Linked DNA regions of Macaca fascicularis. The main gene of each other region encodes a partner of the protein of the gene in region 3 in a complex. Links are inferred from orthologs where the notes say so. Each region holds a gene or a part of one and is shown on either strand. Other genes may lie near its edges. The genes, in order: SF3B4, SF3A2 and DDX46.

Region 1 (3,754 bases), on a different chromosome or scaffold from region 3:
TCAAACTAGATAAGGAGCAGACGTGTCCCTGAGATTTGGCAATTAGGTCACCACTTTGAGCTGGAGTCAGAGAAGAGAATGGAACTAAAGGTTAAAGAAATAAAAACCAGCAAGTATAGTCTTCTTGTCAGAAAAACTTAAGAAATGGATACAGGGAGGTGGATGTTAGAGAGTATTTTGTATGTTTTTATAATAGAATGTCTGAAGGAAAGGAAACTCTGAAACTGTTACTGTTGAGGAACAAAGGGCAGCAGGGTGAGAGGTAACAGAGATGCTCTACCAAGCTCTTCCCTCCCAACAAAGCACACCTACCTGGATGGGGCATCCCACCTGGTGGGAATGGGTGAGGATGTGAGTGTCCATGACCAGGATGTCCTGCCCCTGGGGTTCCTGCCGATGGGGGGCCATGTCCTGCAGCTCCAGGAGGCATAGGTGGTGGGGGCATGGCTGGGGGTATCCCAGGTGGGAGGGCTCCAGGAGGTGGCACTGGGGGTGGGAAGGAGCCAGGAGGAGGCATGCCTATAGAGGAAATGGAAAAAGGAAAAGTTAATGGTAGTGAGGAGAAAATGTCTTTAAAGAGCCTGTCCTGATCTGGCCTCTCTGGGCAGGGTGAGCTCTTTCCCCCTCCTCCCAGTGCTCTAAAATCAAAAGCAATGTTAGAAAAGTCAACCAACTTCACCCTCCTAAAGAAACCCAACAACTTTCTTCTCCACCACTACCATCACCCCTCAGTCCTCTTCCCATCACTCACTGACTCCATGTCCCATCCCCCTTTCAGGCTCTTTTTTTCTTCCTCCTGACTCTCTCCCCCAACCTTAAGACAAACAAATTTTAACCAAAAGCTTTACCTGGTGGAGGAAGCCCAGACCCCAATGATGATACCACAGGATTGGGGGCAGAGGGTGGAGGAGGTGCATCTGCAAACAGCTGATGAGGGCGGTCAGCCTGGGAGAGCGGGTTCTGAGCTGCCAGAAGTCGTTCGGCTGCTGAGCCATGGCGCTCACCCTTGGAGTCCTTCTTGAAGGCATAAGATACGGTGATAGGGCGGTTACAGAGGTACTGCCCATTCATGGCTTCAATTGCTGCATCCGAAGCATCAAATGAAGCAAAATTAATAAAGGCATAACCTTTGGAGTTGCCTGTGTCAGGGTCCCGCATAATCTTGGGGGTTTGTAAGATGACCCCAAAAGCGCTGAAAGTATCATAAAGCAACTTCTCATCAATCTCAGGGTCCAGGTTCCCAATGAAAATGTTGGCCCCTACATCCAGGTTTTTGTTGTGGGCTGATGCCTTGTTCACCCGTATTGGCTTCCCATAGAGTTTGATCATGTTCATGATCTTAATGGCATAGTCAGCATCTTCCTCACTCAAGAATTCCACAAAGCCATAGCCTGGAGAAGTGGAGAAGAGGAGGTTAACAACATAAGAGATTGAAAATGGGGTAAAACTCATCTACCCTCTAATCACAAAGAACAAGAAAGAAACAATCTCACTTAAGAATGGTTCCAGAAATAAACTGAACAGAGGCTTAAAAGAAAGAAATACTTTAGGTTGCTCATGTTATTCCAAAACAGTTGTGAATACTGCCGGGACCCTCCGGAAGCAAACTGCCCCTTGTCATGTACTCACCTTGGTGCTGGCCAGTGACTCTATCCTTTGGCATGTGGGTGTTGACTACTGGTCCAGCCTGGAGAAACAGTTCCCACAGCAGTGGTTCACTAACCTTCTCATCCAGGCCCCCCACGTACACAGTGGCATCTGAAGGGAGGGAGCAGAAAGTTAGAGCAAGGGTGAGAGTATAACATGAAAGAAGGAGGTGATGGAAACATGAAGATGGAACCCAACCGGGGGAACTGGGGACGCGGGTAGGGGACAGGAGCAAAAAAAAAAAGTTAAACCCTTAAACTTCTCTCTCCAGGACTTCAGGAATCCTCTGAAGTCTAATTTAGTATTCTGAGTGGATTTTTTTGTTTTTTTGAGTGAGAACTCAGCAGGGGATTGGACGTAAGTATCACACACACAGGCCTCAGCCAGCACCTGGCCACCCCGCCCCCAGGAGGCACGGGGCCGGTCTCGCGCCCTCTGGGGAATGGATGAGTCCAGTCTCCCACCCCTGCAGAGGCACTTCTGGCTGTAGTAGGGGCCTCCTAGCCACGCTGAGCCCATTCCAGACTTTCCCCCTCCAGTTACCCTGGTTCCGCTCGGAGATCGGCCCGGCAGCCATGGCGAAAGAGCTCCCGCCGTCTCCCAGCAGCGGTTCCGCCTTCTGACCTCAGCACGACTTCCACTTCCGGGGCGAAGGAGGACGTAGCGGTGGGCGGAGCCGCGGAAGAGGAGGGGCCTGGAAGCGGCTGCAGCCATTTTAGGATCCTCCAAGACTTAACTCGGGTTGAGCGGTGGAGTCCTCGGCACTCGCGCAGAGGTGCCGCTGCTAGTGGCTCAGACCGTCTTAATGCACTGCTAGACTTGAAAGAATCACACTGCTCCCAAAAATGTAAATTCGAAAGCTAAAAGAACAAAAACTTCAGTTTTCATGTATTTTGTAGCCAGTGATGATGTTTTGTTGTCCAGAGAAGGATGTGCTGAAGAGTCCCCCCAACCCGAGGACTTGGCTGCTTTCAGGCGCAGAGGGAACCCTCCATCTCGCCTGCAACCTTCTTGCAGATTTGGCCTCAACAGCCCTGATTTGGGCTGGAGGTATTTGGTTTTCCCTCAGGGGAGGAGACTGCGAAATGTCTGAGCTGGAGTGACGTCTGCGCTCATCTCGTCGTAATTGCATGGGGAGGGTGAGGGCAGCTCCAAGGTGGTGTGTGACCACAGGTGAGGGGTGGATAGGATCGGAGCTCAGAGACTTCAGTCTGGATCTCTAGAACAATCTGGCCCCATCTGCCTCTAAATGGGAGACACACACAGAATCCTTTCCCCAAACTGCACTTGAATTCTGCAGAGTCTCACCAAATCCAGTTCCCCTATTTCCTTAGCAATAATACAGTAGATGCTTTCCTCTCTTGGATCATACCCACCTTTTACCCACCACTTTCCTACCTAGGAGAATCCTTTATTCAAACACAAGAAACAATGCCAGTAATGTGTATAAATACTATGCTTTAATGAGCCCCTTAAATAGAAAATTCCGCTACAAAAATACACAGGAGACAGGGTGTTTCCTGTATCCGCCTCATTCCCATAGAAAACTATAAGGGAAGAAATAGAAGTTGGAATTAAAGCAGCAGCAAGGCGAGGTGAGAATGCGATCTCTAGGCCATCTTGTTGGGACTGATGAACAGCATCTCTGATCTCACGATTTAACATCTGGTTATCCAGAAGGGATGGAATTGGTCTAAAAAAACCGATCAATTTCTGGATTGTTTTTGTTTCTTAATCTTTCAAATGACAAGAAACAAAAATATCCGTAGGAACTAAGCAAGACAGGACAAGAGTTGCAGCAGTTAACACCACCATCTGCAGCAGAAACTCAGACCTTCTTAGTGAACTTAAGGGCTGGAGTGTGAAAGCTGAGGCTGCAAGTCCAGAAACAAAAAAAAAAAAAAAAAAAGGATTAGACAGAACCGTCCTCTACCCCAGATCCCCCTCTGCCCTGCCTTTGAGAATGCCCACAATTTCAGTGGGATTGAGAATGGTATGTGGATCTCTTTTCTTGGAGTGAACTTCAGGAGATATTCTTGGTGTCCATTTCCGTAATAGCTCCTGAAGATGGGATAGCTCATCCTGGAGGCCAGAGATTGTAGGAGCT
Region 2 (2,335 bases), on a different chromosome or scaffold from region 3:
AGTCGGGCGTGGTGGTGCATGCCTGTAATCTCAGCTACTGGGGAGGCTGAGGCAGGAGAATCGCTTGAACCTGGGAGGTGGAGGTTGCGGTGAGCCAAGATCGCGCCACTGCACTCCAGCCTGGGCCACAAGAGCAAAACTCGGTCTCAAAAAAAAGAAAAAAGCAGAGGCATGGAGTTGTTGGTAGGACCCCAGCCAGGGACAGTGAGGAGCATGACAGGAAGAGAACGTGCCTGTCCTATCCCTGTTCTCAGCCAAACCCCAGGGCCCCTCCCAGGCCCCTGGCCCTCCTCATCCCTCAGTTTGTAGTGAGCTCCAAGGTCAGGGGGCCCGTGGCCTTGGTGCCTGTGTGTGGAGGGGCCCCAGCACCACGTCCATCCTGCCTGCAGGGCCCGGCGAGCCGCCAAGGAGGCCAAGGAGGCCCCTGCCCAGCCCGCACCTGAGAAGGTCAAGGTGGAGGTGAAGAAGTTTGTGAAGATCGGCCGCCCAGGCTACAAAGGTGAGTGCCCGGAGCGGCGCTGGCCACAGCCGCTGCTGCTGCATGAATAGGTTCTTTGGGCTCCAGTGCAGGAGGCGCAGCCCTGAGACCCTCATTCCTGAGCCGCTGTTTTCTGGCCTTGGTGGCCATCCCTCACCCACCTGCAGCCTCTGGCGTTGTGTCTGGGAGCTGTCAGGCTGAGCCCGATAAGCACCCGTCTCACCCAGCGGCCCCTTTCCCAGCTGAGCCACAGTCTGTGCCCTCCTGTCCGAGTGTTGTGGAAGCTTCTGGGGAGTCTTGCCAAGCCAAAGAGTGGAAGTGGAGGTGTGGTGAGCCCTGGCACACTCCTCCGGTTAACCTTGAAGCCTCTGAAGGAGGACAGGAAGAAGCGGCTGTTAGAGGCGGCTCCTCCGGGACCCTCAGCAGTGGGAATGGCAGGAGGTGACCTGGTTCAGAAAGCCAGGGAAGTGGCCAGGGTGGAAGAGACAGACCTTGTGTCTGTAGGGTCAGGAAGGCGGGCACGCTACCCAGCAAGTGTTCTTTTTTTTTTTTTTTTTTTTTTTTTTTGAGACAGAGTCTCGCTCTGTTGCCCAGGCTGGAGTGCAGTGGCGTGATCTCCACTCACTGCAAGCTCCACCTCCCGGGTTCACACCATTCTCCTGCCTCAGCCTCCCGAGTAGCTGGGACTACAGGCGCCTGCCACCTCGCCCGGTTAATTTTTGTATTTTTAGTAGAGACGGAGTTTCACCATGTTAGTCAGGATGGTCTCGATCTCCTGACCTCGTGTTCCACCCGTCTCGGCCTCCCACAGTGTTGGGATTACAGGCATGAGCCACCGCGCCTGGCCCCAGCAAATGTTCTTTACGGAAGATGGGGACAGCCTGTGTGCCTGGCCTCCAGACAGGAGCCTGCAGGGCACAGGCCCCGGGGCAGGTGCGCTGGGTGGACGAGGGTGGCTAGAGCGGCAGACTCCTGGTGGGGAGGCCCTGACAGGTCCTGAGCTTGGGCTCAGGGCAGTGAGGAGGTGGAGGGCTTGTGAGTGTGCGTGCCTGAGGCTGCTTGGAGAGTGGCCAGGCCGTAGGCGGCCCAGCAGCCATTCTCGGGGTCCAGGCTGCTGAGCTCTGGTGGGAAAGGCATCCTCTCCCGCTCACCCTATAGATGGTGTTGGCCCTGTTCAGGCGGCCCCACTCTAATCCCAGAGCCAGGGTGCCATGGGCCGCTCCCTACCCAGTGGCCCCGACTCCTGCTGGATAGTGTCCCAGCACCCTGGGTGAAGGGCTCTGGGGATTAGGACAAAGGAGTACCACCCTCGGTCCCTGCCCGAGTGACTCCGCAGGTAGCTCAGCCCTGGCGCACCTGTGCCTTCACCTATACCGGAGTCCCAGAGCCTGGGCGGATTGGCGGTTGCCTGGAGCCACAGGGCCTCCCCTGGGGTCTCGCCCTCATTCAGTGGGTGGCATTAGCCTGCCCCAGGTCCCTCAGCTTTGGGGAGGACAAGCAGCCGGGACCTGAGAGCTTTCTGTGTTGCAGTGACCAAGCAGAGGGACTCGGAGATGGGCCAGCAGAGCCTCCTCTTCCAGGTGAGATCAGGGGCTTGGGTGTGGGGGGCGGCCGAAGGCACCTGAAAGGTGGCGCTGCCACCCGGCTGTGTCCCCACAGATCGACTACCCTGAGATCGCCGAGGGCATCATGCCACGCCACCGCTTCATGTCTGCGTACGAGCAGAGGATTGAGCCTCCGGACCGGCGCTGGCAGTACCTGCTCATGGCTGCTGAGCCCTATGAGACCATCGCCTTCAAGGTAGCATGGCTGCGGGGTCCCCTGGGCCCCAGGGCCCCCTGAGATGTGCGAGCCAGA
Region 3 (3,654 bases):
TTTCCCTTCTGGCACTCACCTTCCCCACATAGTTTTATAATGTTGTGGTTCGTGGCTAGTGGAGGTAGAGGATTTAAATTAGATATGTTGCTATGACTTCATAGCCATAGCCTTGATTCTTTCCTTCCTGTCGTGAAACTGTTTCTGCCTCTCTTTCTGTCTCTGTCTCTGTCTCTCTCTCGGGACAGAAAAGTTACTTATTTCTAATACGGGGGGAAATTTTCTAATTTATTATAAATCTTTCCCTCATTTGTGTTTTTTAATATACAAAATGATAAAAATATAGCTCTCTACATTGCAGACCCAGTGCTCCTTTTGTTCTTAGACATTTCAGTCTTTAGTTTTCTTTGATTAAGCTCTTTTTCTCTTCTCAGCGTGCAATGTGGTGCCTATCTGTACTTTCCTACTCACTGGCATTGTCTATTGGCTCCAGATTCTACCCAGCCTACCCTTGATGGCTCTCTGATCTCTGCCACTTCTAAACTTCTAGTCCATATTTCCATTGACCTCATTTATATTTTCAACTGGATGTCCAATGAGCACCTCAACTACAGCAATTTTAGAATTAAATTTCACCCAGTATCACTATCCAAAAAACACTTGTTTTTCCTCCTGGAATCAATATATTCTTTTATTACTTCTACCTTTTTTCACTTGCCAGCCAGCTCTTAATATCTTGTTTCTCTTTTCCACTGTTCACATCCCATCAGAAAAAATATCTTGTCCATTCTACCTCAAAAATGTGCTCTTGTGATGGTATAAATACAATATTGTGAGAACACTAAAGAAGAAAACACTTAACTGCCTCGAAGAGTCAGGAAAAGCTTCCTAAAAATGGTATTTAAAAGTGAATTTAGTAAACTACTTCCTATTCATCCTGTTGTAATGTCTTTACAAGTTTGTTTTGCTAATCTGTATGCTTTTAAAGAGCATGAATTTGTTCTTTATATATTAAATCTCTCACAGTATGTGAGAGGCAAGTGCTTAATTTTTGTGAAATTAATAACTGTGAATGAATGTCTGCAGCCTGCCTCATCTAGTCAGCTATTTTGCCGTGTTCTTTCACACATTTTTCCAACCAGGCTACACTTCTCTTACTCTTCAGCAATTAAGCATGCTTGTCTTAACTCTGTACCACTACATATGTAATTCTCCTTGCAAAATACTCTTCCTGGTATCTTTCCTCCCTCCAAGTGGCTAGTCCTCCTTTCATTTTAAAGATTTTGTTCGTACGTCACCCTTCTGAAACATTTGCAGACTTCAGTGTAAATAATAAATGTCTAATAAATACTTGCTAAATGAATAAACCAAGGAAGTTATATTTCCCTGTAGCCTTCTCTTACTATCTTCTGGACAAATCGCTAATAGTCTTTTTATTCCACTCTTTTTAGTTACCATACTAGGAACTCTTAACACATAATATGACCTCAGTGGTTACATTTGAAACTCTGAAAGTAATCAAAATCATAAGCAGCCATTATATAATGTGGGTAATGTTCCACCAGGCATTAAATGGCCATCTTGGCAGGCAGTACAATGTTTCTAAAAGTCACCTACAGTGTTTCTTCCTGGACCTCCATGATATGGGTAAACACAGTGTAATTTTAGTAATGTGAATAAGATGCTTTCCACTCAATCACCAGGTGCCAATGAACTGGCTGTGCAGAAAGCAAAGGCAGAAATCACCAGGCTCATAAAAGAAGAGCTGATCCGGCTGGTGAGTGAAAACCTTAAAGTTTCATTTGTTTTGTTTTAATAAGTGTTTTATTGAAATATAAATACAGACAAGTACGCAAATCATAAACATATAGTTTGATGAATTTTCACAAAGTAATAAGCATACCAGTGTAATCACTACCCAGATCAAGAAATAAAAAACATTACTAATATCCCAGAAGTCTTCTCCGTGTCCATTCTTATCACTATTCATCTCCCCGCAACAAAACTGTACCTTGAATTTTTTTTTTTTTTTTTTTTTGAGACGGAGTCTTGCCCTGTCATCTGAGCTGAAGTGCAATGGCGCGATCTCGGCTCACTGCAACCTCCGCCTCACCCTCCTAAGTAGCTGGGATTACAGGTGCCTGCCACCACACCTGGCTAATATTTTGTATTTTTAGTAGAGACGGGGTTTCACTATGTTGGCAAGGCTGGTCTCGAACTCCTGACCTCATGATTCACCTGCCTCGGCCTCCCAGAGTGCTGGGATTACAGGCGTGAGCCACCGTGCCCAGCCCCATATTGTGAATTTTAAAATCATAGATTAGTTTTCCTTATTTTTGAACTCCACATAAGTGGAATCACGTGTTTGCACCTTTTGCATCTAGTTTCCTTCAATCAACATTTTGAGGAGATCGGTCCGTGTTATTGCATGTAGCAATAATTCACTCATTTTCATGGCCATATAATATTTATATGAATGTATAACAGTTGATTTATATTTATATATTGGATTTGAGGGCTATTCCTTTTTTGTTTTTATGAATAACACTTCTGTGAACATTATTCCATGTGCATTTGGAATATATTAGCATGATTTTTTCTTGGGTATATACCTTGGAGTAGAATTGTTAATTATAGGCTAGGTATTGCCAGATAGTTTTCCAAAGAGGTTACATCAATTCACACTTAATCAAGCAGTGTATGAAAATTACAGTTGTTCTACATCTTTGCCAACACATGGTGTTGTCAGTGTCTTTAAACTTAAACAATGACTTAATTTGATTTTGGAAAAAGCCCTTTACAGACTGCCTTTGCAGTGGAGGTAGATATGTCCTTGTGTCTTTAGTGCCGGTTGCAGCTTATGAACACTCCCTACAGTGTGTACATTTCCTTTGAAAGGAAACGTCTTTTCTCTAAGTGTACTTCTGAGAGCTTTTCTAAAACTCCCCTCAGAGAGCATTCCTTTTTTTGGCGGGGGGGTTAGAAGTTTAATGAAAAGAGGGTTCAGAAAACAAGAGGGAAAAAGTAAAACAGCTGTTCAATCACGTGCTTAAGACTATTTCAACAAGGAGTGATAGAAAAGAATCTTGTGCCCATAGATGCTACCACCATTAAGTTGATTTCAAAACATAGTTGTTAAGGAATAGTTAAGTGAACAGAGAAATCATTAGTTATTGAATAGTTTTTCCTTTCTCAGTGCAGTAATATTAACATTTAAAATTTTAAATAACCAATAGTTTTACAAGTTAGCAAAAGAAATGATCTTAAATATTTCCCTTTTGGGTTTGTTTGGTTGGTTGGTTGGTTTTTTGTTGTTGTTGTTTGTTTTGCTTTCTCTGATGACATATCTTTTATTTCCTATTACAGCAAAATTCATACCAACCAACAAATAAAGGAAGATACAAAGTCTTATAGACATCCGGAAAAAAGATTTTTACCTCTGCTGGTCTATGATAGATGTGGCAGTTGCAGTCTGCAGTTTACAATGTATTGTAAATTAAGATTTTTAAAAATTCTGTCTTGCTGATTTTTTTTAAATACAAGAAACTAGTATTTGGTAAAGAAATCTGTCCGTAAGTACCCCCACAATCAATCAAACTATATTTAAAGCCGGCCTGTTTTCAGAGTGTGATGTCCTTTAATGTAAACTTAAATATCAATATTTTAAATGTCCGGATAATATTCTAGAGGTTTAAAAAATGGAAATATTTGAAC

What was found.
Region 1: DDX46 (region 3) and SF3B4 share a complex: the UniProt entries of both Homo sapiens proteins name them as parts of the 17S U2 SnRNP complex. The link is inferred for Macaca fascicularis from reciprocal best matches to the Homo sapiens genes DDX46 and SF3B4.
Region 2: DDX46 (region 3) and SF3A2 share a complex: the UniProt entries of both Homo sapiens proteins name them as parts of the 17S U2 SnRNP complex. The link is inferred for Macaca fascicularis from reciprocal best matches to the Homo sapiens genes DDX46 and SF3A2.

The regions. Positions count from the first base shown.
Region 1 is NC_088375.1:111,351,933-111,355,686, reverse strand, and holds the start of SF3B4 (splicing factor 3B subunit 4), read right to left. Parts: upstream 2,269-3,754; 5' UTR 2,225-2,268; coding exon 2,191-2,224; intron 1,759-2,190; coding exon 1,630-1,758; intron 1,392-1,629; coding exon 849-1,391; intron 520-848; coding exon 313-519; intron 1-312. Other genes in the region: MTMR11 (myotubularin-related protein 11), read right to left, coding at 3,577-3,754. UniProt on the Homo sapiens protein: Component of the 17S U2 SnRNP complex of the spliceosome, a large ribonucleoprotein complex that removes introns from transcribed pre-mRNAs.
Region 2 is NC_088393.1:2,904,257-2,906,591, forward strand, and holds part of SF3A2 (splicing factor 3A subunit 2), read left to right. Parts: intron 1-389; coding exon 390-499; intron 500-2,008; coding exon 2,009-2,058; intron 2,059-2,137; coding exon 2,138-2,278; intron 2,279-2,335. UniProt on the Homo sapiens protein: Component of the 17S U2 SnRNP complex of the spliceosome, a large ribonucleoprotein complex that removes introns from transcribed pre-mRNAs.
Region 3 is NC_088380.1:141,369,679-141,373,332, forward strand, and holds part of DDX46 (probable ATP-dependent RNA helicase DDX46), read left to right. Parts: intron 1-1,643; coding exon 1,644-1,717; intron 1,718-3,306; coding exon 3,307-3,354; 3' UTR 3,355-3,654. UniProt on the Homo sapiens protein: Component of the 17S U2 SnRNP complex of the spliceosome, a large ribonucleoprotein complex that removes introns from transcribed pre-mRNAs.